Notamacropus eugenii: one gene and its partners. The protein of the gene in region 2 interacts with the protein of the main gene of each other region in a biochemical or structural test. Links are inferred from orthologs where the notes say so. Each region holds a gene or a part of one and is shown on either strand. Other genes may lie near its edges. The genes, in order: CDKN1B, SKP1, SUGT1 and FBXW2.

Region 1 (7,607 bases), on a different chromosome or scaffold from region 2:
TGTTATCAGGCTCAGTTGGCCTTAGCCATATTCAGTTCAGTACTCCTGAACTCAAGGAATCCAGTAATCTCAGCCTCCTCAGCAGTAGGGACTCCAGGCATCTGTCTGTCACTAAGGCTGCCAATGGAGAGTACTTTTGTTCAGGATTCCCCAGAACTGTCTTTACCTTGTGGGGCATGGGACAATCTAAGAAGTGTCTTAAGAGCTTTATGTTTCTGTACCTAGGTTCCTGTTAATCTTTTGCATTTTAAGAATTTTATGTAGAGGGTGAAATAAAGGTTGTCCCATATTCAATATCTGTGTTTCATATTAAATGCTATATAAGACTAGGGGACCCTTGCCTACGTTTGAGGAGACACTGAGTGAGCTACACTTAAGCTTTCTTCAGATTTTTCCCAGAGTAAAAACTCCAGCCTGAAGGCAAAGAGCAATAATGGCTCCTTTGGGATCAACCCTCCCCCCCCCCCCCCCCCCTGCACCCCCTCCCCATCAGACCTGGGTTTATGTGAACCTAGAGTCCCTGAGACACATGGAAGTCACTCTGGACTGTTTTCCTACAAAGTATTCTCCTTTTTTCCCTTTTCCTCTTTAGGGAGAAGAATAGTACTCTGAACATTTCAGAGTCCCTTTTCTTAGGAGGTCCATAGTATTTTTAAAATGCTCCTATGTTTCTATAACAGACGCCTTGGCTCTTCATATTGGCCACACAGATGTGTGTGCCTTGACTTTAAAAAACACTATTTTATAGAGTTCTCCCAAAGATGCAACCTTTCTGTAGGCTGTTTGAATTTCTTAAGGTGGAATGATCCTAGTTTGAACTTTTAGAGACTAACTACAATAGACATGCTAATTTCAGAAATGAAGGGGCAGAAATATTATGAATACAACCATTATTAAAAATATCTCCCAAAGAAACAAACTAAAAGAAATTGTAAAAGTTAAAATATATTTACCACCCTTAGAAAAGGAGCAAGGACAAAAGATTAGAATTACCTTGGTTTCTTGGATGATTTCTTCAGGTTTTTTTTTTTAATTCACATGCAACAGTAGGTGACATGGTTGGCCCAGACTATCAAGCTCCATCCTCCTGACCTTTCCAGTCTCTACCAAAAAGTTTCTGAGACACAGACAGAGGGAGAGGAAGAGGTGGGCCTTGAGACAGTGAAGGCAGTAGATTCTGAAGATTTTCTGCATACAAAGAATGAACTCTTCTTTGACAACAAACGGGTAGAAAACTCTCTTTAAAAACCACATCTATCGCTAAACTGTGCATACTCTTTGACTCAGAAATACTTCAAATAGACATATATCCTGAAGAGATAAAAGAAAGATGAAAAGAATTCATATGTACATACTCATAGCAGCACTGTTTTTGTAGCAGTGAACTAGAAGCCCATCAGTTGAAGGAATGGTTGAAGAAAAATCCCTTATAAGTATAAATGCTATCAAGTCATAGGAAATGATGATCTGGAAGGATTCAGAGAAACTTACCAAGAGATATGAACAGATGCAGAGTAAAATAAGCAGTACGAGGACAGCAATTTAGGTGGTAACTATAAAATTATAAAGAAAAACAACTTTGAAGGACTTGACCAACTATAACTCCATAAGACAGAGGATGAAATGTGCCTTCTGCCTTTTGACAGAGAGGTGAATGGATTAGAGATACAGAAAGGCACACAACATTTGCAAACACCTTCAATATCTGTTTTGGTTGGATCTGTTTTGTTATACTAGGCCAATGTATTACAAGGGAAGGTTTTAATTTCTTTTTTAGGGGAATGTGGAGTGCAGTGACTAGTGACTAGTGACTAGTGTTAACAGGGCTCTCCGAAAATGAAAGACAAGAATGTCAATCAATAATTTGATATGGACAAGAAAAGAACAGAAGGTTTAGAAGGACACATAATCAGAACAGCTTTTGGAAGTAAGGTGATGACCCAACCCATGTATATTTGACTCATGGTTTATAAGCAATGTTCTTTTTCTGTTTTTCTTTGCATAAGGAAATGTTGAGGTTTGTTGGTGTACATCAAGTATGGAATAAGAACAACAAAAAAGGAAACATTAAGCATGTTTAGAAATTGGCAAGAATTTCTCCTGTCCTCTGTCACTGACTCCTACACCTGTTATTTGGGTGTTGCGTTGTTTCTTTGGCATTTCCTTTCTACTTGAACTGCTGATCTATAATCCTCAGAATCATAAGATGTTATCTTGAAGGCCATCTACAGAACCACCTCTCATTATAGCGAAGAAGTAATCAGTACTCCATGCAAAATAAGCCAATCTTTTCTGTGCTAGAGGGAGCAAATGCTCCCTCACATGCTCCCTCCCACCTCCCTCTCCAGAGGAAAAAAAAGGCCAAACAATGTCCTCAGGAAAGAAAAGTCGGGGTCAAATCATTGGAAAAATTCAAGCATCAGACACACCTATGACTGGCCACAAGTTTTACATCAAACCCTCCAAAAGCAGGCTTAAAACCTGATACTACCCTACAGTTGAAGGAAGGCAGCCTCCAATAATACTGAAATGCACTACTGGCCCATATGAAGAAATCTGTATATGGAGTGGAGGCACTTATACAAAACCTCTTGCTTTGTAATCAAATCTGGCCTCGGTCCCACCTTCCCCCTACCCCCCTCCATTTTCCTGTTTTAACTTCCTGAGCACTGTTGGGGAAAAAATGTTGATTCTTAGCTCCAGTGTTGCAGAGGGTAACAGACTGGGAAAGTATCCAAATCATCGCTAGTTCAGATGAGTTGACATGGCAGTAGAAGTTTCATAATTATTCCAAAAGACACGTCCAATGAGAATAATATGCACCTTAAAGTAATTTGCAGGTTATCACTTCACTTGCATCTGAAATTTGTATCCTGGGTGAGCTGCTGCAGATAGTGAGGGTTAGGGGGGAGGGGCGGTGATACTGAGAATAGGGAAAAGAGAAAGATGAGGGAACAGTTGATGGAAGAGAGGATGTTGTTTGCTAGTGGCTGGTCTCAGGTGGAAGAAATTGCTACAGCCAAACGGTTGAAGAATTTAAAGAGACAGAAACAGGTTTCTACATTTATGAGAACATCGTTTTTCCTGGACTCTAGTAGGGAGAGCAGCAAAACCTTTGATTCTGGGATTAGCTCCAGATGATTCTTACTCGACTCTTTTTATCTAAGGTCGTTTCCTGGCTTTTGTTCCTTTTTCCTATACATGCACTTCTAAATACTCTAGTCATCCAAGCTCTGCTCGCTACCCCTGACTTTTCTGGGAAAAGTTGACTCCTGTTTACTGCCCTAACCCCTTGGCCCCTCCGCTCCTTATCAGGCTGCTCTGGAAGGGAGACGTCGGTACAAGCTACGGAGCTTTCCAGCTGAGCCTGAGCGCCAAGCCGGCTCACCACCCCAAGTTCCGCGCCCCGTCGCCTCCCCTTCCCTCCAATTCTGGCCGGCGACTTTCACAGCCTTTAGGTTTTCTGACCTTCGCAGCCCAAGCTGGCGGGGGTACCACGGAGCAGGATGAGCAGATCTTTTAGGTACCAAGCAAACTGTATGGAACCAGCCTCCTTCCTCCCCCCGCCGGTGAGACTAGGAAGAGCAGGATCCGAAACGAGAAGAGCTGCGCCCGCCCAACTCCGTGAACTGCCAATTTATGCTATTTATTTTTGACTTTTAATTTCTCAAAGACTAGCCTGAGAGCGTTGCTTACTCCAGACCCCCCTCGCCCCCCAGCTCCCACCCCCGATACCTCGCGATCGCACAAGTCTCATTCCTCTGCTTTGCAAACCAGCACGATTTCGGTAGCGTCGAGAGGTATCTGGCAGAACTGCGCCCGGACTACCTTAAGGCAAAGCGCCTAAACGCAGCGAACCAGCCTCCGCGGGGTGGCTCCCGAAGCCACAGCCAATGGCTCCCCTTCTCTGTTTAAATAGATTTGCAATGTCAATCATTTTCTCCTTCTTCAGCCTCCCTTCCACCGCCATATTGGGCAACTAAAAAAAAGTGCTCGGCTTTTTGGGGTGTCTTTTTATATTCCTTCCCTTTCCCAGTCTCTTCCTACACCACGACTTTTGAGATCAGCCAGGTGTTTTTGTTTGGTTTTGTTCTGTTGTTTCCTCCGCGGCTCGGTTTGGGAAACCCACAGGCTCTTACCGGCTGGGTCTTGGACTAGCTTTTCCAATTCCCCCCTCCCCTCCCCTCCCCTCCCTTTCTCTCCTTTCCCCCCCTCCCTCTCCCTCCCTACGTCCCTCCCTCCCTCTCTCCCTTACACTTGATCTGCTGGGAGACTTTTCTGCTGGCTCTCCCGGGCTTCCCCCTGCCCCCTCCCCCAAACCCAACACTGATCCTAAAGCTTGTGTAATTATTGGTGGTTGTTTGTTTCCCTTGGCCCCGAAAGGGAATCGCGGGACCTATATAAAAGGGGCTACGTGTTCGGATTTTTTTGTTGTTGTCGTTTTTAAAAGTTGAGTGGAGACGAGGGAGGACGATGTCAAACGTGCGTATTTCGGACGGGAGCCCGACCCTGGAGCGGATGGAAGGCAGGCCGGCGGAGTACCCCAAGCCTTCAGCTTGCCGAAACCTCTTCGGCCCGGTGAACCATGAAGATTTAACGCAGGACTTAAAGAAGCATTGCAGGGACATCGAGGAGGACTGCCAGCGCAAGTGGAACTTCGACTTTCGGAATCACAAACCCCTGGAGGGGAGTTATGAGTGGCAACCTGTGGAGAAAGACAGTTTGCCCGAGTTTTATTTCAGGCCCCCGCGGAACCCCAAAGGGAGATGCCAGGGGCCCGGCCAGGAGAGCGGTGATCTCAACGGAGTGCGCCAAGCGGGGTTTTTTATTGCTTCTCAGGGAATCTCAGAGGACACCCACTTAAGAGATCAAAAGACTGAGGGTGCATCCGAAAGCCAGACGAGTTTGGCAGACCAGTGCACTGAGACGAGGAAACGACCAGCCACGGATGGTAATCGCTCCTTTAAAATTAAAATAAAACAAACCCCTCCCTTGTTTACTCGGTCTGTCTGGGCCACTCCTTGGCTTTACTGGAGGTCCGTCCCCGAAGTTGTGTCTAGAGAACACCAGCTCAGTTCTTGGCTTTTCCATCGGTAGCTGAAGCTATTAACCTTACGCTCCGGTGCTCTCATCTAACTAGTTATCATTTCTTTTGAGTTAAGGCTACTAGTTGTGTTTCCTGCCAGTCGGTGTAAAAATTTATCTGTAAACTTAACGTTTAAAACCCACCGCCTTCCTAAAACACCTGTCCCCTCCCCCAGTCTGCCATCATAAGGTATGTTAGTCACCCAAACTATTATCTTGCAGCTAGGATGTTCCTAATTATCCCTTGGGAAAGATTGCGCTATGTTATCCCTCGATAGGTACCGGGGTCTTGGGAGCAGGTCTTTGTTAATAGCAACAATATTTTCAGGATTTTAATACAATCAGATTGCTCCAGGATTGTGGGTGGTGGTAGTATTTCCCCCCTCCCTTCCCCCGGCTAACTTTTGTTAGCTAATGCTTTTAATAAAATCTGTTGCTTGTCTTCCCCTCCTCCTCTCCACAATTTCCCCTGCTAGATGTCTCACCTCAAAACAAAAGAGCCAACATTACTGAAGAAGAGGTCTCAGACACTTCTCCCAATGCTAGTTCAGTGGAGCAGACGCCCAAGAAGCCCAGTCTCAGAAGACATCAAACGTAAACTACTTAGGTGGGTTGCTTAGCTAGGGTTCAGAAATGAAACCAAACTGCACTGCTGGAACTGGTAGTCTCTGCAAACTCCTCAACACATTTTATTTATTAGTTGCCTATGGATAAGAAGTTTGCTAGTTTGTTAAGGGTATTTCAGGCCCCCTTCCGCCCCCTCATACACATTTTGTGAAGTTGAAAGAATAAGGAGTAGGGGAAAGGGTCGTTGAGTTTCATGCAGTTTTCTCCATCAGGCAGATCTTTTCTTGAGACAAATTAAGCAGTTACTCCAGAGTGAAAGATAGCATCCTGGATGAAGACTTATCCTGGAGGTAGTTCCTGGTGAAAGGGAGATCATCCTCTTATGAGCCTTCACAAAAACTTGATTGGAAGATGAGATTTTTTTCAGCCCTAAATAGGGCTGTGGTTGTTCTGTGACCCAGCAGAGGAGTTTGAAGGTTTTATCATTTTTCAGTGGTTTCAAATAAAGGCATTGTGTGGACCCAGAGGGAAGAAGGGGAAACAAATGGTTTCATCTTTTCATTTGAGAATAAACGGAGCTCCAGTGAGTCACAGAAGAGTTTAGAAATAGGATAAAGTGGCATGTGCAACTCATTTATTTTGATCCTTCTAGTGTCACACCACTTCTACTGGGTTTTTGGAGGGTGAGGGAAACATGTTTATGCAGAAGAACACGCAGAATCATTAAAAGTTACTCACAAAGTTTTTCCACAGCTCTGAAGTGCTGCAAAGTAAAAGTTAATGAATTCTGTCCCCCTTAAGCAATCTGGAACATGTCAGCATGTATATGCAAATTGTGCTAGAACAACTCACTATTTGGGTATTTCAAGGGGAAAGGAATAATAAGTATCAGGGCTGGCTAAGGCTGTCTACTTAGCTCTAGGGAAGTGGAGATTTCAATAATATGCTGAATTTGATCAGTTTAGATAGATGGAATAATTCAGTCCTCAAAGCTCTATTTAGGGGGCCTTAATTCTTCAGGCCAGCTAATTCTACTAGTCTACTAGGAGAAACTGAGTCTCATTTCTCCCTATAATATTCTTTATCAGTGGCTGCCACCTGGTAGGTGCACAATAAGCATTTATGGAATGTCGATGGAAACTACAATATAGAGGACACTTTAAAAGTGTGTGAGGGCATGTTTTTATTTCTTAAATTGAAAAGTCGCTCCAGTTTTTTTATGTAAATTAAATGTATATAACCTCCATACAATACAAAATGCCCACTTGCAGGGGCTTGTTGAAAGATGGCTTTATAGAACCTCTCTATACAGTGGAGGAAATTGGATGAAATTGTTGACTAATTCACCTGAAGATGTCAATATCTGCAGTGCTGCCAGGTCTCTTTCATATATCTTTATGTCAGACCCTCATAAAGTTTTGGTCTTGACTTATTCAGCTAAGCAAGACTTCTCAAATTCAAAGAATCTTTAGAAATGTTTACTCAGAGCACTGGCAAACTTAAAACAAACAAACAAAAAAAGCAACTGTACACATATATTCATCACAAGAAACAAGGATAAGCTTTAAAATTTTTTACCCTATTAGCTTAAGAGATAGCCATAAAATATTGCCAAAGGTCTTTTCAGCTGGATGAACTAGCTTAAAGGGCTACAACAGTTTACCTATACCATATTCATTTTGCATCTTCTTAATTTTTTTTGTACTGACCACTTAACTATGTGATTAATTCCTAGTACTCTCCTCTACCAATGTAGATCAACAATATATCTCTGTAACTTATGATCTTAAGAAAAAAAAGTTGCCTGGGGCACTAAGACTTTCAGTGACTTTCAAATCAGAACTTAAACCCTGGTCTTCATGACTCCAAGGCCCACTATGCCATGTTTTCCCCCTCATTCTGTTCTTAGGCATTTTTCAAATAAAGGTGAGTTGTGGAATTTTTTTTTTTTACCC
Region 2 (7,719 bases):
CTTACAGGTTAGCTCATTCTACTTTTTGGACACCTTTTTTAGGAAGCTTTTTCTTACATCAAACCTAAATCTGCCTCTACAAATTTTACCTACTGTTTTCAGTGTGCCTTGTGGGCTCAAACAAAACAAGACATCCCTTTTCTACTAGACAGCCTTTCAAATACTTGATAAACATGATAACTGTCAGTATTATCTTTTCCAGGCTAGCATTTCCATTTCCTTTAACCCATCCTCATAAGGCCCAACAACTCTCCTTGTTGTCTGCCTGGATGTTCTCCAGTTCATCAGTGTCCTTTCTAAATATATATAAACATAATTCCAGCTGTGCTCTGAACAGGGTATGTTGGGACTATCACCTCCCTTGTTCTGGATGCTCAATGCAGCCTAAGAGCAAATGAGTTTGGTTTTTTTGCTGTCTTGTCACACTTGATCCATATTGAGTTTGTAAACCACCCAAAGCTCCCAGATTTTCTTTTCAGATGAACTGCTATCCAGCCATACCTCCCTAATATTGCATTAGTGATGATTTTTTTAACAGCCAAGTGTAATACATCAGTAAGCATTTATTAAACACCTACTATGTACTAGACCCTGTGCATTGGGGTCAAAAGTGAAACAGTTCTTACTCCTGAATTTACATTCTAATGGGATGAGACAAAGCACATATGTAAGTATATACAAAATTAGTATAAGAATATAATAGTTTAAACTTCATCTCATTAGATTTGGCCCAACATATATAGATCATGTGTCCATATTTGTCCTTATTGTCTCCCCTGTTGGATTTTGAGCTCCTTGAAGGCAGGGACTGTCTTTTGCCTCTTTTTGTCTCCCCCAGGCTTAGCATGGTGGCAGAGCTAGCACACAGTAGATGCTTAATAAGTTTATCGACTATTCTTGCAGATTTGTTTGACCTACAAGTTTGATAAGCATACCAATTGTTGAAGTCATTGATGAAAATGTGATGGTAGCTTCATTGATTAATCAAGCTCTTTCTGTTGAGAAATAGGCATGTGTAGGATGATATCCCTACACATGTTGATAAATGGTTCTTTGGGGTCCTCCAGAAAAGAAATGCAAAGGCTTCCCTCAAACTTTATTTCCTATTCAATTGAAGGTGAATTGAATCTGGCACCATCTGGTGGCTGAAATTGGGAACAGCAGAAGGGGAGAGAGTGAGCCTCCATGGCCCTACCAGGCCAAGGCCTGCAAATGGAGCCCCTGGATGTGGCTAAAAAAAAAAAAACAAACCAAAACCAAAAAACCCCACCAAATCTTTCCAGTTCCTCACTAAAAACAATCCTTACCTGCACCTCAAGGGCAGAAAGGCCAAGATATATTCAGAAGCTAAAATAGAAGTAATTATAGATTTTCAATTTGAGTTGGACTAGGTCTAAGGGACCCTTCCATACCTGAACAATCAGGTAATATTATAGTTGGGGCAAGATGATGCAGTGGATGGACTGCTGGCCCAGGAGTCAGGAAGACTCATCTCTCTGGCCTCAGACACTCACTAGCTGTGTGACCTTGGGTAAGTCACCTAATCCTGTTTGTCTCAGTTTCTTCATCTGTGAAATGAGCTGGAGAAGGAAATGGCATGCCACTCCAGTATCTTTGCCAAGAAAACCCCAAATGGGGTCATGAAGAGTCACACATGACTGAACAACAACAAAAAAAATATGAGAGCCTATGAGATAATGAGATATATGTATGGATGTAGATGTATCTAGCCATCTCTATAGATAGACTTATCTGTAGAGATGGCTAGATACATCTAAGTCTATAAGATACATTCTAGCCTGTAAGATATATATGCTATAACCTGTAATATATATAAGTACATATCTATATATCTTATAGGATATATATCTGTATAAAATTTATAGCATATATATCTCTCATAGGCTAGAATGTCATGTTATTTATGTGATATGTTATACAGGCTATAATGTTACTATTATTGTGTATGTGTGTGTATATATACATATACATACATACATAAGCACAGAGCTGAAGTGAGGAGTGTTGCAGGCTCTGACGCTGGAAGAAGTGCAGTGCTTTGACATCCCACATGTTCCCACAAAACCTGCTAGGGCAGTTATGAGTGATGAAGCTATGAAAAAGAGCTGGGCCAGTATGAATTGCACTGCCCCACTTCTCTACCTCCCCTCCCCCCACTGATCTGGGACCCAGCTGGGGGATCTTTGGGCAGGGAGAATATAAAGTTCAAGCTACCACTCTGGCCCGAGTTTTTAGACTTCAGGGAACTTCTTTGCTTATTACTTTTTGTCTCCTTGCCTGGAACTTTTTGCCTTCCTGTGAGCAGAGTTTTAATGGTCTTGGAGACTGGGGCGGGGGGGAGGGCGCGTAATGTGTTTTTTATTAGTGAGATAGTTTATTTTGAACCTCTAGCTTTAAGTGATCCATTTTATCAGTTGTGGAACCATGGACTAAGACTAACCAGGAGAAAGGAAATTTTATAGAGGCTTCCCATTTTACTTTTATTTTGAACCTAAACAGAAACAGAGGCAGGGAGGGGGAAAGAGAGAGTGAGAGAACATTTCCATATACACAGAAGAACACAAAAGAGGATTCTACTTGCAACCATCAATCTCTATTTCATACTGCTTGCTTATCAAATATATATATGTATACATACATATATTGTGTGTATGTATGTGTGTGCATACACACACATACACACACACACATATGTTCTACCCAAACTATCCACCTTCTTTGTCCTTCTAAACTTCTAGATGGTGTAGTGGTTAGAATGCTGGTCCTGGAGTTAGGAAAAGAGTTCAAATCTAGCCTTAGACACTCACTGTTTTACTCTGGGCAAGTAATTTAATCTCTGCCTCAGTTTTCTCAATTGTAAAAGGAGGATAATAACGTAAAGGTAACCTACCTCAAAAGATTGTTGTGAGGATCAAATGAAGTAATATGTTTGTAAAAGTACTTAGCATAGTGCCTGGCACACAGTAGGTGCTTATAAATGACCTCTCCTTCCCTTCTAACTCACCCTCCTCAATTAAAAAGCAACAGGAAAAAAGATACTTATAACAAGTAAGCATAGTCAAACAAAATTAATCTGCACAGCAGTCATCCAAAAATATGTCTCTGTACCTTTTGTCTATCGCTTCTATATCAGGTGGTGGGTAGCATGCTTCTTCATACGTCTTTTAGAGACATGACCAGTCATTGCACTGATCAAAGTTCTTAAGACTCAACGTTCTCAAAGACCTGAGTTTCTCATGTGAAAAAATGACACCTACTGTGGACAACTTTTCCAAGGAGTTTGCTACTACAGTGGGCAGAAGAGATATAGCAGTAGCATAGATGGAAGATCAATTGAGGATTTTTTTCAGGATAGAAGAGACATGAGCAGTAGGAAATGAACCACTAGAGAGGGAGAGACTGAAGACTAGATTCAGTTTTAAGAGTAAGTAAAGGTTCTAAATGGCTTTGTATTTTTGGTTTAGGAAGCCTATGCAAAGCCACAGAGATGGGAGACACAAGAGTCAATGGTAAGGCAAATTTGGTTAAAGTTGGGTACATATATATACATATATATGTATACATATATATATAAATAATAGCTGTTGCGGTTTTACTAAAAAGGGGGGAGGGACATGGTTATCTGTGCTTTAAGAAAATCACTTTGACAACTATGTGGAAAGTAGATGGATTTGAGGCATGACTGTTTACTGGACAGTCCAGGCAAGATGTGAAGGACCTGAACTAAAGAGGACAGGTGAATAGAGCAAAGGAGGGGCAGAATAGGAGAGATATTATGGAAATAGAATCGACAAGACTTGACAACTGATTGGATATATGTGATAAGGGGGAGTGAGAAGTTGATAAATAAGTTGTTGCAAACTTGAATGAATAAAGGATGGTGGCACCCCAGGCCTGGCTGACTGGAAAGGCAGTGATGTGATGCCCTCCAAAGAAAAAAGTGTAGCCCAGAAGAATTTTGGGGGGGAAAGAGAGAAATCGTTGGAAGTTATGAGTTCAAACCTCATTTTACAGAACAGGAAACTGAGGCCCAGGAAGTGACCTGTTCAGCTTTGCATAGGGTGGTGCAAAAATCTGAACTCCAGCACTAAAATGACAACTCTACCGCCCCACAGCTTCCTTCCTCTAACCATGTCCAGTTTGAGGCCCTTGGGGGGGCGCTCAGTTGGGGGTGTCTAATAGGTAACTTAAGTATATGGAAAGGGCATCAGCACAGAAATGATCATTAGATTTCAAGGCAGCTGATGAGGTCACCGAGTAAGAAAATAGAAAAGGGCAGGAACAGTTTGGCTTTCCTTAGCTGTCAAATGAGGATAATGTTTTCTGAATTATCAGGATTATTTTGAGGAAAGCACGTTGTAAAATAAAGGTTTTCTGTCCAAAAATGTAAACTATCAGAGAAATCGGGGGTTCTTTAATTTTCCTGTTTCTCCACCCATCTCCCAAGAAGTTAAATTCCTTAAAATGACCTGCAGCTGTCCTTCACTGGGTCCCTCACTGGCTCTCTGGCTATTCAGAGATAAGCAGGAGCTGCTCGTCCCCCACAAAGACCCACGGTGTAGACTCCATGAACTTCCCCAGCTCCAGAGCATTCTGCTGAAGACAGCCTCTGCCTGAAGGACCCCGCCCCCAGGCTGCAGGAGCTTCAACGAGCCAGCCTGCCTGTGCCTCCAGGCCTGCCCCTCTCAGGACGGGTGGAAATGACAAAAGCTCCTCCGAGAGTGCCAGAAGAGAGGAGGCTAGAGAAGGCCCCTTTCGGTGGGTGTGTGCTCGTTCCCCTGTCAGGCAATGTCCTCGGACATCCCAGCGTGCTCTGTGACGTCACCAGGCCTGGGGTCCTTGGCTCCACTCTGTCCGCCCTTATAAAGGCCGCCACCACTGGCGCTGCTTCTGTAGTGGTCTTGGTGCTCCGCGCTGCTTCGGGGCCTTCCCTCCCCTCATCGCCTGTCCCTTAGCCCACCGGGTCTTCTCGGCTCCGCCAGCTTGCCCGCCGGGGTCCCCGGGCATCCGGAACCGTAAGTGGTCTCGGCACTGGGGAAGGCAGGGTGGAGGAGGAGCCGCGGGGCGCGGCCCCGTTGTTGCTGTGTGGCGGCGGCCTAGGCCTCGCCCGCTCCCTTCGGAGCTCGCCAGCCCCCCATCCCCTGCCCGTTCTCTCGGCGTTTCCGGCCGCCAGAGCAGGCGGGAGCCCTGACCCTGTTCCCCTCCCTTGTTCCAGGCCGCTCGAGCTCCGACGTTAGCTTCACACGCCACAGGCCGTCCCGCTTCTAGGCGCCTTGACTCGGTCAGCCTGTATACCTGCCGCCGGGGTCCCCCGAGGCCCGCGCCCCGTTCACGGCCCCTCTCCGGCCCCCCGTAGTCTGCCTGCCTCCCTGCCCGCTCCCACGGGGAGCCTGAACTACTTTTCAGCTTCGCCCAGCGTGCGACCCTCGGCCCTCCCCCCTTCCCCAGGGTCGTCTGCACCTCCCTCGCCGGCTCCTTCCGAGCCCGAGCTAGTTCTCCTCAATGATGGGGCACCTCCTGTGCTCCCCTTGCCATAAGGGTCTACCTTTATACCCCTCTCGCGGGGGTCTTCAGCAGATTTGTTGTGGGTAGTCGGAGCTGGGTAATCCGGCCCAGTCCTTAGAAGGGGGGGGGCCCTTATTCCCGTTCTGTTGAAGCCCCAGACTTCCTTATTCACCTGCTGTGCAGGGGGAGGGTCTCGGTTTTTCCTCTTGTAAAATTGGTCCGGTCGGTAGGAGCGCCCTGGATTGTAAAGGCATTTGTGCGTTTTGTTTGTTCGCTCTGCTGCGAACGCTGGGTAAACAACATGACTGCGCTATCTCGGGAGCCACCTGCCAGCCGCCCCGGCCTGCCCGCGACGGGAGAGTGGTCGTTGTCCTAGGCGGAGTGTGGCTTCGGAGGGCCGGGAGGCCGCGGCTGCAGGAGAGCCCGGGCCGGGGCCGGGGCCGGGGCCGGGGGGCGGGCGGCGTGGATTGTTGGCGAGGCGCGTTCAAGCCCCGGAGCTGCTGGACCCTAGAGCTCCCTCCGAGGACAGTGGGGTAGGAGCCAGCTCTGCAGTGCATTAAAAATACGGCCTTCCTGATCTGTGGCAAAAGAAGCAAGTGGAAAGGATCCCTTCTGCATGGCAAGACTTGAGGGGAAAAAAGACACTTTCCGTGTTCCTGGAGGCAAAATGTTTCTGCTTTTTTCATGAACGTTTTCAGTAAGCCTCATGGACAGGATTTGTCGTAAATCATTTTGCAGTTTAAGTTGGAAGCGTTAGAAATATTAAGACCTCAGACATTTATAAATGTACTTCATCTTAGTAATAGAAATGCATACCCATTTAATCAGGAAGGGAATAAATATAACCAATAGTATTCATAGATTTTAGGAACTCAGATTTGTAGTCGTTAACGTTTAGGTGGCTACTTTTCAGAAGATTCACTTCTCTGGAAATAGGGCTTTTGGGGGGAGGGGAGTGCAGCGTTGTGTGGAGCTGTTTCCAGGGCTGATGACTAAATTTCTTTGAATTCTGGATTAACATCCCTTCAGTGCTATTTAAGATCTTAAAGATTCCAGAGTAACCAGATAGGTCTGAAGTTTGTGACCAAGCAAATTTGTTAATGACTTTTTTGATCTTGGATGAATGAGGGAACTTAACATTCTAATAAAATGTCAGGCTTATTGTAGTCCATGACATCTTAGCCAAAAAACTCTTAATGTCACTTGTGTGTATGCATTATGCAAGCTAATATTTTAAAGCCTCTAGATTTATCTGCCTTTTGGGCAGGCAGCTTATTCTAAAATAGCCTTATTTAACCAATGGAGTCTCTGTAATTTTGAAGTTGTTGGTATTTGTAAATCTGCTGCAGTGGAACTGGCCTCAGTTCCATGGGCAGGGCTGGTTTCAAGTTAGTTTGGTGGTATGGTATGATAAGAGGATAAGCTTTGGTACGTTGAATTCAAACTTCTGCTTTTATGTCCAGGAATGAAATCTTTTCAAAATTTGCATTTTTTTCTACACAAATATTTTGATATATTGCTGTTTTCCTGCTACTTAAAAAAAAATTTTCACTGCAATAACATTTGATGTAGAGGAACTGTGGGTCATCAATTCCCATCTTTCATTTTCAGCTCCCAACATTCAATTTTAAGGCTTACTTTCACCATATTTGAATCAGCTGTAACATTTTTTCCAGCTGTAAAACGTGCAGTACATTTAATAAAGTCTATAGCATACATTTTAAATTTTACAGATCATTTTCATTTAATGTAAAACTTCATAGATGCTTTAAAATATTTTTTTCTAATCTTAAAGCTAGAATCTTTTTCAGAGAATGAATCCCAGAGTAATTCTTGGATAAATAAACCTTGTGTAAAAGTAGGCAGAACCAACACGTACACACAGTAATGTAAAAGGTAATACTGAAGTGCATTTAACTGATATTAACTTAGTGAACATCTTGTGTGCAAGGCATTTGCAACGAGTAAACCAGTGTAACTGGATTGTACTGGAGTGAGGAAAATAACTCAGGAAGTAGGAAAGGGTCAAGTTATGAAGAACTTTTAAGATGTCAAACTGAGGATTTAATTTGTTCATGGGAGTTAATAGGGAGCTACTGAATTTAATTGGGGATTGGTTTGGGAAGGAGGTAGTTGATATGTTCAGACCTAAAATTAGCTATTTCCCTTTGCAGTTGGGGAGGTGAAAGTATT
Region 3 (7,523 bases), on a different chromosome or scaffold from region 2:
TTTCTGTGGACACTGTCAATTCATTCATTCAATAAAAATGTATTAAGCTCCTACTAAGTGCCAGGAATCATGGTAGGAGTTGGTGATACATAGGAAAAAAACTAAACAATCCATGCTCTCTAAGGGCTTACATTTTATGTGTCAAGAATGTGACTTGGCTGCCAAAAAAAAACAAAAAAATCTTAGATTCCATTAATATTAGCACAATGTCCTAAATAAAGCAAATTACATCTTGCTATATCTTGGTCTGATAAGAAGTATAACTGGAATACTGAAATCAGTATTCAATGTCACATTTTAAAGACATAACAGGGAAAGACATACCAACTGGTGAAAGGTCCAGAAACTTTGTCAGTTAAAAATGAAGACTTATGGAGCCATATTAATAGCTGCATGTCTTTCTCATGGAAGAGCATTCAGACTTGTTCAGTATGGCCCCAAAAGGAAAAAAACCAGGAGCAACACGAAGTTACAAAGAGAGATTTGGCTAGATGTAAGGGAAAACTTCTTAACATTTAAAGCTGAACAAGAGTAGAATAAGCTGCTTTAGAAGACAGTGAGTGCTTCAGGACCAGAGATCTTCCAAGAGAAAAAAAATACTTCACTATTATAGGATGCAGTCAAGTATGTTCAGGGACCAGAGGGACTAGACAACCTCTGAGCTCCTTTCTACATCTGAGATTCTGTGATTTAGATTTACATTTGCAGACTATTCTATGGTAAACATTCATAAGAATTTTACCTCAATCACCAAACATAAAATGAGCTACTGTATCTAAAGGAATTTCTAGTGTTTATGACAGTATAAAAGCATACTTCCTATGAAATCTTCCAGGCTTTTCAGAACAAAAATTAAAAACTTACTGCATAAAGAGTTGGTTTCATAAAGTACTTTCAGTTTATTCCACTGAATATCAACCACTGAAAAAATCAAGCACATACATATATCAGGGATTTCAGTGCACAATATTCACATCTAGTCAAATTTTTTTAAACAGACAAATGTTGAATCTAATATTTAATCAAACTTACTCTATTTTCTTGTAAAACCATTACCGCAAAAAGTACTTTATCATAAACCTTGAAGCACTACAAAACTGTAATCACAGTAATTACTTATAGTAACATAAAGCCTTCATTTATGTACAACTTAATACTAAAAATAATAACCTACAAAACACACAAATAAAGTCAGATCTCAAAAATTGGAGAAATATTAATTGCTCATGGGTAGACCAAGTGAATATGATAAAAATAGCAATCCTGCCTAAATTAATTTGCCATACCAATTAAAGTGCCATACCAATCAACCTACAAAAAAATTACTTTACAGAGATAAAAAAATGACAAAATTTATCTGGGAGAACAAAAGATTAAATATTATCAAGGGAATCAATGAAAAAATAAGTGAAGGTAGCCTAGCAGTAGCAGATCTCAAATTGGATTACAAAGTAGTAATCATTTAAAACATTCTGGTATTGGCTGAGAAATAGCATACATACCTTTTGACCCAGCAACAGCATTACTAGGTCTATATCCCATTGAGATTAAAAGAAAAAGAGGGGAGAAAGAACCTATAGGTACAAAAATATTTACAGCAGCTCTTTTTGTGGTGGCAAAGAACTGGAAATTGAAAAGGTGCCCATCGACTGGGGAATGGCTGAACAAGTTGTAATACATGATTGTGATGGAATACTATTATGCTCTCAGAAATGAGGAGCAGCACGGTTGTGAAAAACCTGAGACGTACATGAACTGATGAAAAGTAAAGTGAGAACCAAAAGAACATTGCACACAGTAACAGCAATATTATGCGATGATCCACTGTGAATGACTTAACTATTCTCAGCACCATAATGATCCTAGACAATCCACCTCCACAAAGAACCTATGGAATCTGAATGTAGATCAAAGCATCCTTTTTTTACTTTATTTTTCTTGGGTTTTTTGGTGTGATCTGTTTCACAACATAGCTAACATGGAAAAATGTTTTGCCTGCCTAACACACGTATAATCTATAAGAAATTACTTGCTTTCTCAAGGAATGGAAAAGGGAAGGAGAGAATTGAAAACTAAAATTAAAAAAAAAATGTTAAAAATTATTTTTACATGAAATGGGAAAAAATATAACGTTTTCCACCGAAAAAGATATCATAACCCATAATTCCCTGAGTACTTGCAGCTTCACAAAGTTCTTTCCTCCCAGTTTTACAGAGGAAGGCAACGTCCCAGAAAAGCGATTTACACAAGCCCCAACACTAGCAACGGGAGGTCTGGATCCCTGAGCAACAGTAACCTGGGAGGAAACGTGACACTCGGAGCCCGCCGGTGACTCGCACAGAGCGCAGACTTCACACCAACCCACGTCCTCCCCACGCCAGGACACTTGGCAGAGATCCCACCTACAGGTTATCTGAACCACAAACGGGAACCCCGGCTGTCCCGTCGGTGGGGACTCCGCTCCATTAGAAAGGTAGGGGAGGACTCTCACAAAGCGGACGAGCACCGCACAAGATACAATCGCGGGGTCCAGGGCGCAGGGCAGGGGCCGGGGGCCCCCCGACTCCGCCGTGGGACAGGACTTTCTCCTGACACCTGTCAGCGGGGGGGGGGGGTCTGAAGCCCCCCGCGGGGAGGGCCGGAGGGGGCTTCTCTCACCTCGGCGGCCGCCTGGGGGTCCTCGTCGATCTGCCCGTCCGACAGGGGCGGGAACAACCTGCCGGGGAGACAATCACGTCAGCGGCGGTGAGCGGAGTGGAGAGCACAGGAGAAGAGGGGGAAGGGGACCAGAACCACCCCCCGGGGCCGGGAGCCACTCACCCCGACGCCGTTGCGGGTCCCGCCGCCGCCATAATTCGCGCTGTCTCCGCCGCCGCCCAGGGGGGAAACTTCTGGAGAAACACCCTGCGAGCTTCCGTCCGGAGGAGCCGAGCTAGCGTGAGGGGAAGAGGGGAACGGAGGAGCAGGCGCGGGGACTGACGGGAAGCCGGAGGACTGGCCCCGCGGGAGCCCCGCCTCCCGCCGTGTTACCAAGGCAACCCCCGGGGCTACCCACGCGGCGGCCTCCTCCTCTCCCCGGCACCGCCCCGCCTCCCTCCTAGCTCCGCCCCCTCCGCTCCGCTACGGCAGCCTAGCTCTCTCCCCTCCCCCGCGATTTTCGGAAAGTCCCTCCTTTAACTGTGGTGAGTATACAAGTCTAGTAGGCCTCTCCCATAGATCAGAAGTCAAAGGCTATAAACCGTAGCCGGAATAAATCAACAGCCGTATGAAAAAAACATTCCAAATTATTACTCTTAGGAGGAGAGCTGAAGATTAAAACTTCCAAGTTTCGGCAGACGCGAGATGCAGGGAGGGGGAGGAGACAAAACAGCCACACTAATCCGTGATTGTGGCCGCTGTGGATTGGCGCAATCGGTAGTAACTTGAATTGATGCTTAAATAAGGGCGAAAGTACACACATCCTTTGATCCCGCTACGCCAGGAGGTCAGACAGGAAAAAGGCACCAAAATATCGGTAGCGATACTTTTCGTGCTGGCAAAAACAAAACAAAACAAAAAACCCTGTTAATATTGAGTTCCTGAAGAATGGGAAAGGCTGAAAAGCTGTGATGCCATTTTATTGTGCCTGTAAGAACTGATGGTATACTGTGAAGAGTGTGGGCGTGGAGTCAGGAAGACATAGGTCTGTATCCTACTTTGGGCAAGACAAGTTAATCAGTAGACATTTGAAACCTACTATGTGCCAAACTTTGTGCTCGTTGCCTACAAGGACCTTCCTTATATGTTCTCTGAGGAAATAGCACACAGCAGGAGCAAATGTAAAATATGCACAAATGAGTATTTTGGAGGAGTGGAGCAAGCAGACCCTTGCAGGAAAGTGACCAATACCAGTTGAGTGGCTACCGGGGTTCGGAAAAGGCCTTTTATGGACGGGGACTTAGCTAAGCCTTGAAGGGAAATAATTCTAAGAGACAGACGTGGAGAGGATGGAGGCGAGGCTTTGAGGACTGGGTGTGGAAATCACGGGGGTCCCAGCACCCCTAAAGCTCAACAGAAAGACCAAAGGGAAGGAGGGAACAAGCATTTATTTCGTAGTCGTTCTGTGACAAGCGCTTTACAAACATCTCATTTGATCCTCACAACAACCCTGGAAGGTAGGTGTTTTTATGACTCCTATTTAACAACTGAGGAAACTGACACAGACGCGGGTTTGCCGAGGGTCACGCTGCTGGCTCGTAAGGGGAGGGAGGGGCCCGTGAGGGGAGGGAGGGGCTCGTGAGGGAGGGAGGGAGGGGCTCGTGAGGGAGGGAGGGGCTCGCGAGGGGAGGGAGGGGCTCGCGAGGGGAGGGAGGGGCTCGGGAGGGAGGGAGGGGCTCGGGAGGGAGGGAGGGGCGGAGGGGGGAATAGAGACAGAGATACAAACGGTGGATGGGCAAGGAGGCAGAGAAATAGACAAGCCGGCAAACCCTTAGACAGAGAAGCAGGCTGACTGGCGGACACAAACACAAGCAGTCAAAGTAGCAGGCAGGAAGGCAGGTACCTGCACACATGCACACACGTGAAGTGCAGCCTTCAGCACAACGTGCTGTTATCAGAGGACACGCGCTACTTCCGGCCTCACAGCCGCCATCCTTACGTCATGGCGCATAGAACGCGCCAGGACGTCGTCTGGCGTGTCGCGTCACCATTCCACGATCTCGCGTTTTCCCGAGCAACAGGCCCGAGAACGACTGTACCTCCGGGACCTGGCGGAGTAGAGGGCGGTGGGAGTTTTGACTTCCGGGTATTAAGCACGAAGCTTCCGGTTTCCTCTGCGCCCTTTCCCTGCTAGTCTTCTCCGAGGTCCAGTTTCCGTTTCTTACCCCGGCTTTCTTCTGTCTCCGACTTTCCAGAGACGTCGGAGCAGCGATTGGCCGATGGCCGATCCTTCGCATTTTAATGGGGGCAAAGGAAACAAAAAAAAAGTAAAGCAGCAGGGGAGGGCGATCTGAATCTTGCTTGGGAGGCAGAGATCCTCGGGTCGAGGCCCGTTTCTGTTTCTTCCTTGGCTGGATTTTATCCCTAAATCGGGGGGACAGTTTTACGATCCCTTCCCGCTCCGAGTCGATCCTAAGATGGGCCGGTGTGCCTGGAGGGTGGCGAGAAGCGTGGGCTTGCGTGGTCTTTTCTCCCCATCCCCCACCGCGGGCACACACCCCGTTACTGGTGGCGTGGAGGTACAGGGGATCTCCAGAGTCCAAGTGAGAGTTTAATCTTTAATTGCCCAAAATGAACGAGGCCGTTTGGAGGGCGCCTTACGACGCGATTAAACTTGCCCAGAACTTTTGGGGACGTGGGGTGGAAACGACCGTCAGCCGCCTGCTGAGTTTCACGTGGAGCCTTAGCGATCACGTGAGCCCAGACTTCCCAAGGAATTGTCAACAGAAGTAAATGCACATTGTTTTCGGTTGGGTCCGTTTCACTGTGTATTTGGGGTAAGGTGTGAATCCCAAGGGAGATTCCGCTCTCCTTAGCCCTGTTTGTCTCTCGGTCCTGTGCTCGCAGCACTAGTGCCCAGTTTTATTTCATTTTGGCTGCAAGGCAGGCCCGTAGGAGCAAAGAGTTATTCTTAAAAACCTTCATAATTGCTAGGTCTTTTTACCCCGCATGCTCAGGCTGCCTGTCAAAGCAGTCCATCTTTTAGTAAATCTAATGGTTCTTCTACTAATCCTTCAACGTGCCTGATGTTTATCGTAGTGTTAATCAGACAATTCTGAAATAAAACCAGTAACTAAACAAGAAAAAAAATACATTTTAACCTATGGATGCTCAAGAGTTGGAATCTGAGAGAGTGTCCAGTTGGGAAATGGCTAAAAAAAATTATGGATGTGATGGAATATTATTTTGCTGAAAGAAATAATGGAGATGAAGATGAGCAAGCAGACTGGCAAACAGATGGCCTTAAACAGCAGACTACTTACTGTTAGGTAAAAAGGTATTTTGCATCATTATAAAAGACACTTGTATTTCACTATCCAGAATCATTGATTTCAGTACCTATTGTAATCATTGTATGAGATATGTAATCCTTTTTATTTGGTATGTTAACAAGGTACTCTGCTTAATAACTTACTGGGTATAAATTTTATATTAGAAACATTCTCCAATGTAAATTAAAAACTATATATCCTGCCCTAAAAACAAACAAGAATACTTGAACTTTTCACATTATTTATTCAATAATAAACCAATTAAAATACAAAAGATTTAGGAATTTCAAAAATTTGTCTTTAAATACAAATTCACTCTGTAATAATATGAATACATAACATTAGGCCTCTAACCAATGATTTTTCATCTATAAAAATCTCTATACTAGGAAATAAATTTGCTGAAAACTTTATTTTTTTCTTGTGAAATTAAATGTACAATATTTACAGCTGAAAAAGTATTCTAAAACTACTCCATCAAAAGCCTGGATATGTATGCATTTATGTGTGTCAGCATGTGCACGTGTATGTATATACACATATATATGTATAAAATTCCCACCCCCCACCCCCCATTCCCATTACATAAAAATCAGGAACAGAAAAGTTTTTATAAGCTATTGACAAGTGAGCCAGATTGACCCAAAACTAAATTTTTTCAATAAAAATTAAGTAGGCACTTAGGAACGGTATCCCTGTTTATTCAGACCACTAGTATATATCATTTAGTAAACCATGGCCATCATTTACTAAATGCCACTCAGTAGTCTAAGGAGTTAAAGAAATCTCCAGGTAAAACATACATATTTGGCAAAAAATGCTGATCAAGAACTACTGTGACATTGGATTTTTTCCTCAGGCATAATTTATTTACAGTAACTTGACGTTTTAAATGGTGTAATAAAAATGTTTAGCATGAGACTATTGAAATCAGAATATTTAGAGCTAGAGTTCAACTTGAAAACATGTTAACAGATAATAGCAATTTTTTCGTCCTATGGGAGTGTGGAAATTACATCATTTGCCAACCGGCCACAGCTTTAAAGAACACCTAATTCCCCAGATGAAGAAATTGAAACAAAGAATGGTTAATTGATGTGCCCAAGGTCACACAGAGTTGAAGTCCAGACTAAAGCACTCTAGCGGAGCCCTGGAATGCCCCTGCAGGTACTACTTGCAAAGCAGCCCAGATTGAAGACTGAGTTTCTCTTTTTTTCTTTACATTTTACATACCAATTCTTTGTGGCACACAATGTTAACAGTGGGAAGCAGATGAGCAACTGAAATCAATTTTAAAAATTCATGAGATAGACTTTATACAAGTGGAATGAACATAGTTTCTATATAAACTCACTGCTGCCTTACATTTAACTAACATATTTACATAGGAAATAAAAACTATCATAACATGGAATCAGAAAGGGGATTTTAAAAAAAAGATAAAAGTGTAGCAATTAAGACAAAGATCTCAAAAGAAAGCCTTCATAATATAAAATGCATGTTCCTTCATGCTTTAATTCTAAAATATGTCCATGCAGCAGGTGCAGCATTTTT
Region 4 (7,447 bases), about 100 Mb from region 2:
TGTACCTCTCTATACTTCAGTTCCTCACCTATAAAATTAGAGTTAACTAGATGACAGTGATCGCTAATGTCCTCTTCAGCTCCAACAAAGAAGAGGCTAAATAACTCTGGAATATTTTTGAGGCAGTTCATAAAGCAGACAGAAATTTAGATTGGATAACCAACCTCTAATGTCTCTTATAGCTCTTAATATATCTTTCTGGTACTTTAATCCTAGTTCATTCTTGTCTATCTTGTAAGAGAAATACAGTATGCCAACCCCAAATGAATGAATGAATTGCTTCCTGTTTGTATTGTATGGCCTGTTTGGACTTAGTTGAAAAATTTCTGCTAAAAGTTACCAGCATAGGAGGTAAATGTGCTAACTCAAGGAACTTGTACACCTATAAGAATAAATTTAAGATTTCTATGTAGTAGTTACATATAATTCTTTGAGACTAGATGATGGATCCATGATTTTTTTTAGCTTATGGACCCATTTGCTGTATGCACACAGCATTGAGTATTTTACAATAATTCTATTTAATTTTTTTTTTGTATTTCAAGTCAGAGATATAAAAATACAGAGCTAGTTCCATTAACATATGTATGACTTTCTTTCAACATTATTGAGAAGCTTTACAATTATAAAGAACGAGAAGAGGCAGTTCTTCACAGAAATAAATTTAATGCATTCCCCTTTTAAAAAGACAAGTTGATTGAAGAAAGGATTCTATGCTATATTAAATTCTTTAGGAACTGTTATAAAATTGGTATTTGAAACATGAATAAAAGGGTTAAGAAATTTCTTTCTCTTGCTTAAATATATAATTGCAAAGGCTTTTATAGCTAAGCCTTTTGGGGAAAATACAACGGGAGGAATGTTTACTATGACAGGAGAAAGAGAATTGTAAAGCATATATTTTCTATAGGAAAACGAAATCTTAATCAGCAAAATATATTGCATCATTTTTTATAGGTGCTATATTAAAGTGTTTAAAGCTATCAAGATAAGTTAGAAGTTTGCAGGAGACCAATCCATAATAGGTTTCAAGCAAGGTGCATGCTTTCCCATCATTAACTTCCCTCCACTCAAGTGGCATTTCTTCACCTGTCATTTCTGAGGATGTGAAGATGAACTTATAGCAGCATCGATTGTACCTGATGTGCTTCTCTCCAGAAAACCGTGAACTGTGGATGGGTATGAGGCCAGCGTACTTGGCACAGATTCCTATAAAAACATCAGCAGGTATTGCCAAAGGTGCTTCCTTGAAAACCACATACATCATACGGGCCACATCCTGAGACACAATAAAGGCCTCTCCACTGCAGTAATCAGGGTAGTACTTTTCTGGATACTCACTAATGGGAACAAAATTCTGGCTTTGAGGATCTCTGTTGGGCATATCCTGATGGATGACCCTTCCCACATAGATCTCTTCAAGGTGGTCTTTTAAGTTGAGAAGATAGTCTACCAGGCTAGGGAGATTGACAAACATCTCTTCATTGACCTTGAGGATGAACATGGCATTTGGGCAGAAAGTTACAGCCCACTGCATCATCATGATGGTCTTTAGTGTTTGGTTCCCAGAACTGTCCAGGAAAAATCCTTCAATAATATCTCTGTATTTATTAGACTCCATGTTGATGTCTTGCTGAGAAGTTCCCAGATCTGGCATTCCTAAGGCAAATAATGTAAGGATAGGATGTCCGCGAATAGTAGTCACATTAGCCCAGGTTTTCCTTATCAAATCCCTCCTTGACCCATTTTCTGGACTGCTGAAGATAAGAGAGAGTAAAAAGATATCTTCTCCCTTGCATGCCTCCTCCTGGCTCAAGATATAAAATTTTGAGAGGTTATATCTTAAGGGCTCCACGTTTAATTTTCTGGCTTTGTCCTTAATCTCAAGAACTCTGACATCTACATATGGTAATGATTGTAGAAAGTATTCTTCCACAAAGTCAGCTCCAAAAAGCAGAGCATGAAACAAGATGACATTAAATAAAATGAAGCACCATTGGTGAGTCCGAAGCCTACAGAATGTCACCTAAATAAGAAGAGAACATAAAGGTAGTTGTCTGCCCTCACCTGAAATTAGTGGAAATATATTTGGAGTAGAAACGAATTATTTGCTATGTCTCATTTGAGTTATTAGCCTTTGATATTACCATTTACATGAAATTTGTTTCTCCCATTTTTCCAGTTGCCAAGCAGTTTTTTGTTAGTTGTGGCATAATCTGAAATGCTTATGTAGTTCTGACCCTGGTTTCTGAAGTTTTATTAATATTCATATGTAAATGATATATATGTAACTGAAATATTCCAATATATATTACATTTATGAAAGTACTCAAGTGCTCATTGGGACCAAATTAGATCTGCATGGTTTCTTGTCCAAAGAGGAATGCGTAGTAGTTTTTAGCTAAGAAATACACACAAAAATACAACATACAAGAGACTGCTATATCCTGCTTGCTCTATAGTATATAGCATCAGTGGAGCTCTGATGGAAATAGGTTGGAGTTGGAGAAGGGAAACAACCCATTTTCACTGGCAGTATCTTATAATAAGGCTTTCCACCTTCCTTTTCATATAATTGAATAGAGAAAAAAAATCCTATTCATTTGTAAAATGAGAGAGTTGAACTCTATAGACTCTAAGATTCAGCCTCCAAATCTACCATCCTCTGGGGTCCTCTTATTGATCATTATGATCTGAATTTCTCATTTTCCTAGTTTGCCTACAGCAAATGAAAATGCAGACATTCTTTAAAACTATTTAACCTAGGGTGCTAGAGGAAGAAGCTAGGTAACATAGAATTCTGAATCTCTGCCTCTCACAAGAAAGGTAACAAGTATCTTAAACTTAAAAAAAAAAGTTTTACCTGCATTTTATCCGTGATTGAATTTGGAATTCTCAAAGCACTTTAGTCCAAATATGGATTTGGGTTCAAATATATAGATGAGTCCATTTGCAACTGAAGTGGAAGCACTTTGTCTGGAACTTTTAGGATAAGGTTTCTCTCTAATCAGCTTGATCCTTTGTTCCAGCTTACTTGATGGATGCACAGAAATGCTCATGCTCACACACAAACACCCTGATCATGTTGCAGTTGGAGAAAACCCAGAGTATTAGAACAGTCTGCCTAATTCATTAGTCCCTAAGACTGTAGGGAATCATTAAAAAAGAAATGTTTCCTGATGTTCAGAAATAGTTAATAAAGCGTTGGACATGATCCCTGGGGTTATATTTTTCCTTGTAAGCAATAACTTGTTTACTTGAACAACAGTTTTTCTAATATTTAGCAATTTTCTAATATTTAGCAAGTATGGTTGGATTAGATGATCTTATGAAGTCATTATGTGACAAAAAAAAAAAGTTAAGGGCTTTGTAGGATGTAGGCCTGGATATGTGAATTTAAAGGATTTAAATGAGTCCATTATAGGCTGGGTCTGATAACAACTATTGGCTCTAGAGTCAGAGGACCTAGTTTCAAATTCTGCCTCTCACCAGTGTGACCTTGAGCTCTCCCTTAACTTGGACCTCAGTTTCCTCATCTGTAAAAGGAAGGGATGGCCATTGGGCCCCCTCCTAACTGTATGATCCCATGCTTTAGGATTGGCTAAATTAATGGTTTTTAAAAAGTTCATAGCATACCCGCCCCGACTATAACTCTTTGATTCTCCTAGTTAGATGGTGGAGGTGGAGGTAGCATAATGAAAGAGCCATCAAAACACATTTTGTGGAAGCCATGTATAGTGAAATAGAGTCAAGAAGAGATCCGGAGTTCAGTACATGCTAAATATATGACGTTGAGCGAGTCACCCCACGTCTCGGAGACACGGCCTCATCTGTAAAGTGAGTTCAATAAAATGAATTGAAAATGTTGTGAAAGTTGTGACCTGCATTCAAGGCACTGGGACTTAAGGCATAGGAATTTAACTGCTTCAGTTTTCAAATGGTTAGGAAGCCAGGATCCATGGATAACAAAGGGAGTGCTAAAAGTGGATGATATAAGCAAGGTAAAGAGTAAAAATTGAGAACGAAATTAAATAATGAATCAAGTACTTGGAGAAGTCACACGAACACCCAGTTGACAAGTAGGCAGGCACTGTGGCAGTGAGAGGAAAAGCCCTTTTAAAGGCCCATCCTGACATCTTTCTGTCTACAGGGCTTTACTACGTTTCTTGTTCGCATTTCCGCCGGCTTTTACACACACTTGCTATCTACTCCAGCCCTGGAGCCTGGTGCCGCTCGGCCAGCGTCTCCATTTTGGGGACCACTACGCATGCTTCCTTCATGCTCCTCTAGAAGTGGAGGTCGGAAATGCTCTCGAAGGTACTTCCGGTTAGTGTCTTTCCTCTCCTCGCCCTTCCCCGACTTAACTCGTCAGTTCCCAGGGGACAGGCTGGGCGCGCGGAGATGACGTGCTGTGGCGCCGGAAGCCGCTCCCCTCCGAGCCTCCGGAACCCGAGCGGCGGCCGCGAGTTGGTGTGTGGGGCGGGGGCTCCGCGGGCTGGGACGGCGGGGGCAGCCGGAGGAGGGGAGAAGAAGAGCTCGTGCCCGTCTGACCCACTGTGTGTGTCTTTGTGTTTCCCTGTCCAGGCGCCATGGCTGCCGAAGGTGCCCGGCCGCTGCGAGGCTCCGCCGGCCCGCGGGCGCCCAGGCGGCGTGTGTCCGTCCCGACGCCCCGGGTCCCGGAGCGCGCCCTCAGGTCAGTGCCCGGGGCGGGAAGCCGCGCGCGTGGGGCTTGTGGGGGGGAAGGGAGCGTACGTGACGGGGGGGCGGTGTCCGAGGGAGGCCTCCTCTGCTTCCCTGCTGCCCCGCCTTTTCCTCCCGTCCAGCTGTTTGAGCCAGCCCAGCCTCTGAGCCCCGATAACCGCATCCGCCCCGCAGCGGAGCCCTCTTCACAGATCTTCGCAATAGCTACCGTAGCCCGTCTTTGTAAAGCATTTGGAGGCCCCCAGAGCTCACTCGAATCTTGTGATGTAGGTAGGACCGGTACTAGCCCATCCTGCGGATGATGGAATAGAAATTCAGAGAAATGAAACGATTGACTTGCTCAAATTCACAGCCCTGGTTAAGAAGCCAAAGCCAGGTTGTGCCCAAGATCATGCAGCTAGCGAGCGGAGGTCCTTTCCTTTCAGTCCAGTGCTCTTTACAAGACCGTAACACTACCGGTAATAATGGACGTTTGCATCGCTCCTTGAAGTTCGGCAATCATTGTACACATAGATCTGTTTATATTTGAGCCTCACGGCATTCCCCTCGTGTTAGGCACAGAAATTAAATAACTTGCCTGTGTTTATATGGTGAGTAGTTGTTAATAGGATTTGAACCTGAGTGCTGCTCCCTGACTACACCATACTGTCATGAGGTTTTACACATGTATATGGTTATTTCTGAAGTGTATCTTTGACCATCACATGCATAGATCCTTGCAGTAGAAAGGGGACACCTGTCTGTTTCAGTTCCACCCAGTTCTTCTATGTCTGTTGCAGTTATAGCAAACCTTTATCACTGAGATATATTTGCATTATAATCTTACTAGTAAACTAGCATGAGTAGTATTATTTTCATATTACATGTGAAGGAACGTAATTGTGACATATTGGAGGTCATTCAGGTGTTATTTGGAAGTGTGATTATTTGAATCCAGACTCAAATTGGGTGCGCTATACCGTGTTGCGTATGTTTAACAACCTCCACCAATTAACTCCAAGAGTTAATTCATTTTCTCCTAAGGCAGCAGCACTAATTCCTTTTGACCTAATTCCTAGGAAGTTTTGCTTCTATTGATGTCAGCCTAATCCATATGTTCAGTCAACTATCTTAATGATTTTGAAATACTTTAAAACATTGAGTCATTTAACTAGCATTTATTCACCTATTATGCCAGACACTGTGCTAGGGAAGGATACAAAGAAAGAAAATAACAGTCCCTCCCCTTGTGTACTTGTCAGGTGAAACGAAATTGAAGTATATGTAAAATCATTTGAGGTGGGGTAGAGAGAGGCCCTAGCAGTTGGGGAAAACAGGAGAGATTCCATGTAGAAGGTGGCATGTATTGTAGAAGATGTAATAATGGTATTTCCCATTTATATAAATAATACCTTAAGGTTTGCAAAACACTTTTCCTTACAGCCTGAGCTTCAGGTAGATCAAGAGAGCATTATGTTAGGTGTTTGGAGAGATACAAAGCTTAGGTAAGAACTTGTCTCTGCCCTTGTGGTGTGGATACTAATATAGGTATCTGTAATATACAACAAAAGTTTCAGAGGGAATTGGTAATACTTTCAGTGAGAGGCAGCTTGGTGTAGTGGCTAGAGAGCTATCATGTTTGAAATCCAGAAGCCCTGGGTTCAGAGCCTGCCTGTGATACATACTGGCTGTGGTCCTAGGCAGGCTACTTTCTTTCTCAGTGCCTTAGGCTACTCTCTAAGATTACAAATTGCAGAACAAATGCCATTCTACATTTGTTGAGGAATTTCTTCTTTGGAAGTTCCCTATACAAGTGAAATCGTAGGCCCAGAAAAAATGCATTAGAAAGTTGCAAAAAATGTTACATTTGAGGAGAAGGTTGTTAACAACAAGGGGGTCAAGTCATGAAAGAGTGGCATTTGAATTGGACTTTTAGTATGAGTTGCTAAAGGAGAAGTGGGCTAGGGAATCATAGTGAGCAGCATGAGCAGAGGCACAGGAAAGGGAAACACAAGTCTTATTCAGGGGTCACTTTGGTTGGAACTTAGAGTGCATAAAGGAGGGTAAACTGATAAAGATGGCAGGGTGCTTAAATGTCAAGTAGAAGTTTAAACTTCTTTGGCCAGACAGTAGGAAGTTACTCAAGATTTTTTAGTTGAGGCATTTTATTGTCAAGGTCAGGATGAGTTTGTGATTCTCTATTTTAATTATTCATTGTTTAGTGTCTCCTAGTACTCTTCAGTGAGATCATGATCAAATTAATTTAGCTTTAAGTAGGAAACACTGATTTATTATTTTAAATGATGTAGTCCTGGGAGTTCTTTACTAGGGCATTGAGAAAATGTATTTAACAGGAATTAAAACAAGTATCCAGCCATTATAAATCAAGGCTTTTATAATGTAATAATAGTTCACCTTTATATGATGTGTTAGGCTTTCAAAGCACTCTAGGTACATTATCTTATTTGATTCTTATAGCCAGGTAGGTAGTATGGACATTTTCTCTATTTTATCAGTTAGTAGAATAAAACTCATGATGGGGAACTGACTCACTCAAGGTTGCCTAATTCATTGGTGTTTCCTGATTCTGAGTCTAGTACTATCTGCCATATCCCATTGCTTCATACAGTATAGTGTATGTTAGTGGCTTTTGAAAAAGTAAACCTGACTATTGTTTCAAAATAAAACAAAATGACAAGATAACTAGTACTACTACGGAAACAAATGCGGTATTTAGTGTGACCAGTATTGCCTGCAATTACTTCAG

The links.
Region 1: the proteins of SKP1 (region 2) and CDKN1B interact in a test that uses a peptide from one of them, tested with the Homo sapiens proteins (2 studies listed by BioGRID). The link is inferred for Notamacropus eugenii from reciprocal best matches to the Homo sapiens genes SKP1 and CDKN1B.
Region 3: the proteins of SKP1 (region 2) and SUGT1 form a complex in vitro, tested with the Homo sapiens proteins (2 studies listed by BioGRID and IntAct, with this or other methods). The link is inferred for Notamacropus eugenii from reciprocal best matches to the Homo sapiens genes SKP1 and SUGT1.
Region 4: the proteins of SKP1 (region 2) and FBXW2 form a complex in vitro, tested with the Homo sapiens proteins (2 studies listed by BioGRID). The link is inferred for Notamacropus eugenii from reciprocal best matches to the Homo sapiens genes SKP1 and FBXW2.

The regions. Positions count from the first base shown.
Region 1 is NC_092874.1:198,276,174-198,283,780, reverse strand, and holds the start of CDKN1B (cyclin-dependent kinase inhibitor 1B), read left to right. Parts: upstream 1-4,473; coding exon 4,474-4,951; exon of another isoform or gene 4,952-5,561; coding exon 5,562-5,683; 3' UTR 5,684-5,692; exon of another isoform or gene 5,693-6,009; intron 6,010-7,607. UniProt on the Homo sapiens protein: Important regulator of cell cycle progression. Inhibits the kinase activity of CDK2 bound to cyclin A, but has little inhibitory activity on CDK2 bound to SPDYA. Involved in G1 arrest. Potent inhibitor of cyclin E- and cyclin A-CDK2 complexes.
Region 2 is NC_092872.1:341,051,703-341,059,421, forward strand, and holds the start of SKP1 (S-phase kinase-associated protein 1), read left to right. Parts: upstream 1-4,665; 5' UTR 4,666-5,036; intron 5,037-7,719. UniProt on the Homo sapiens protein: Essential component of the SCF (SKP1-CUL1-F-box protein) ubiquitin ligase complex, which mediates the ubiquitination of proteins involved in cell cycle progression, signal transduction and transcription.
Region 3 is NC_092877.1:291,035,151-291,042,673, forward strand, and holds the start of SUGT1 (protein SGT1 homolog), read right to left. Parts: upstream 3,106-7,523; 5' UTR 2,853-3,105; coding exon 2,821-2,852; intron 2,717-2,820; coding exon 2,659-2,716; intron 1,589-2,658; exon of another isoform or gene 1,524-1,588; coding exon of another isoform or gene 1,503-1,523; intron 922-1,502; exon of another isoform or gene 886-921; coding exon of another isoform or gene 865-885; intron 1-864. UniProt on the Homo sapiens protein: May play a role in ubiquitination and subsequent proteasomal degradation of target proteins.
Region 4 is NC_092872.1:441,489,703-441,497,149, reverse strand, and holds the start of FBXW2 (F-box/WD repeat-containing protein 2), read left to right. Parts: upstream 1-4,369; 5' UTR 4,370-4,401; coding exon 4,402-4,470; intron 4,471-4,584; coding exon 4,585-4,693; intron 4,694-7,447. Other genes in the region: B3GALT9 (beta-1,3-galactosyltransferase 9), read right to left, coding at 923-2,026, 2,864-2,869. UniProt on the Homo sapiens protein: Substrate-recognition component of the SCF (SKP1-CUL1-F-box protein)-type E3 ubiquitin ligase complex.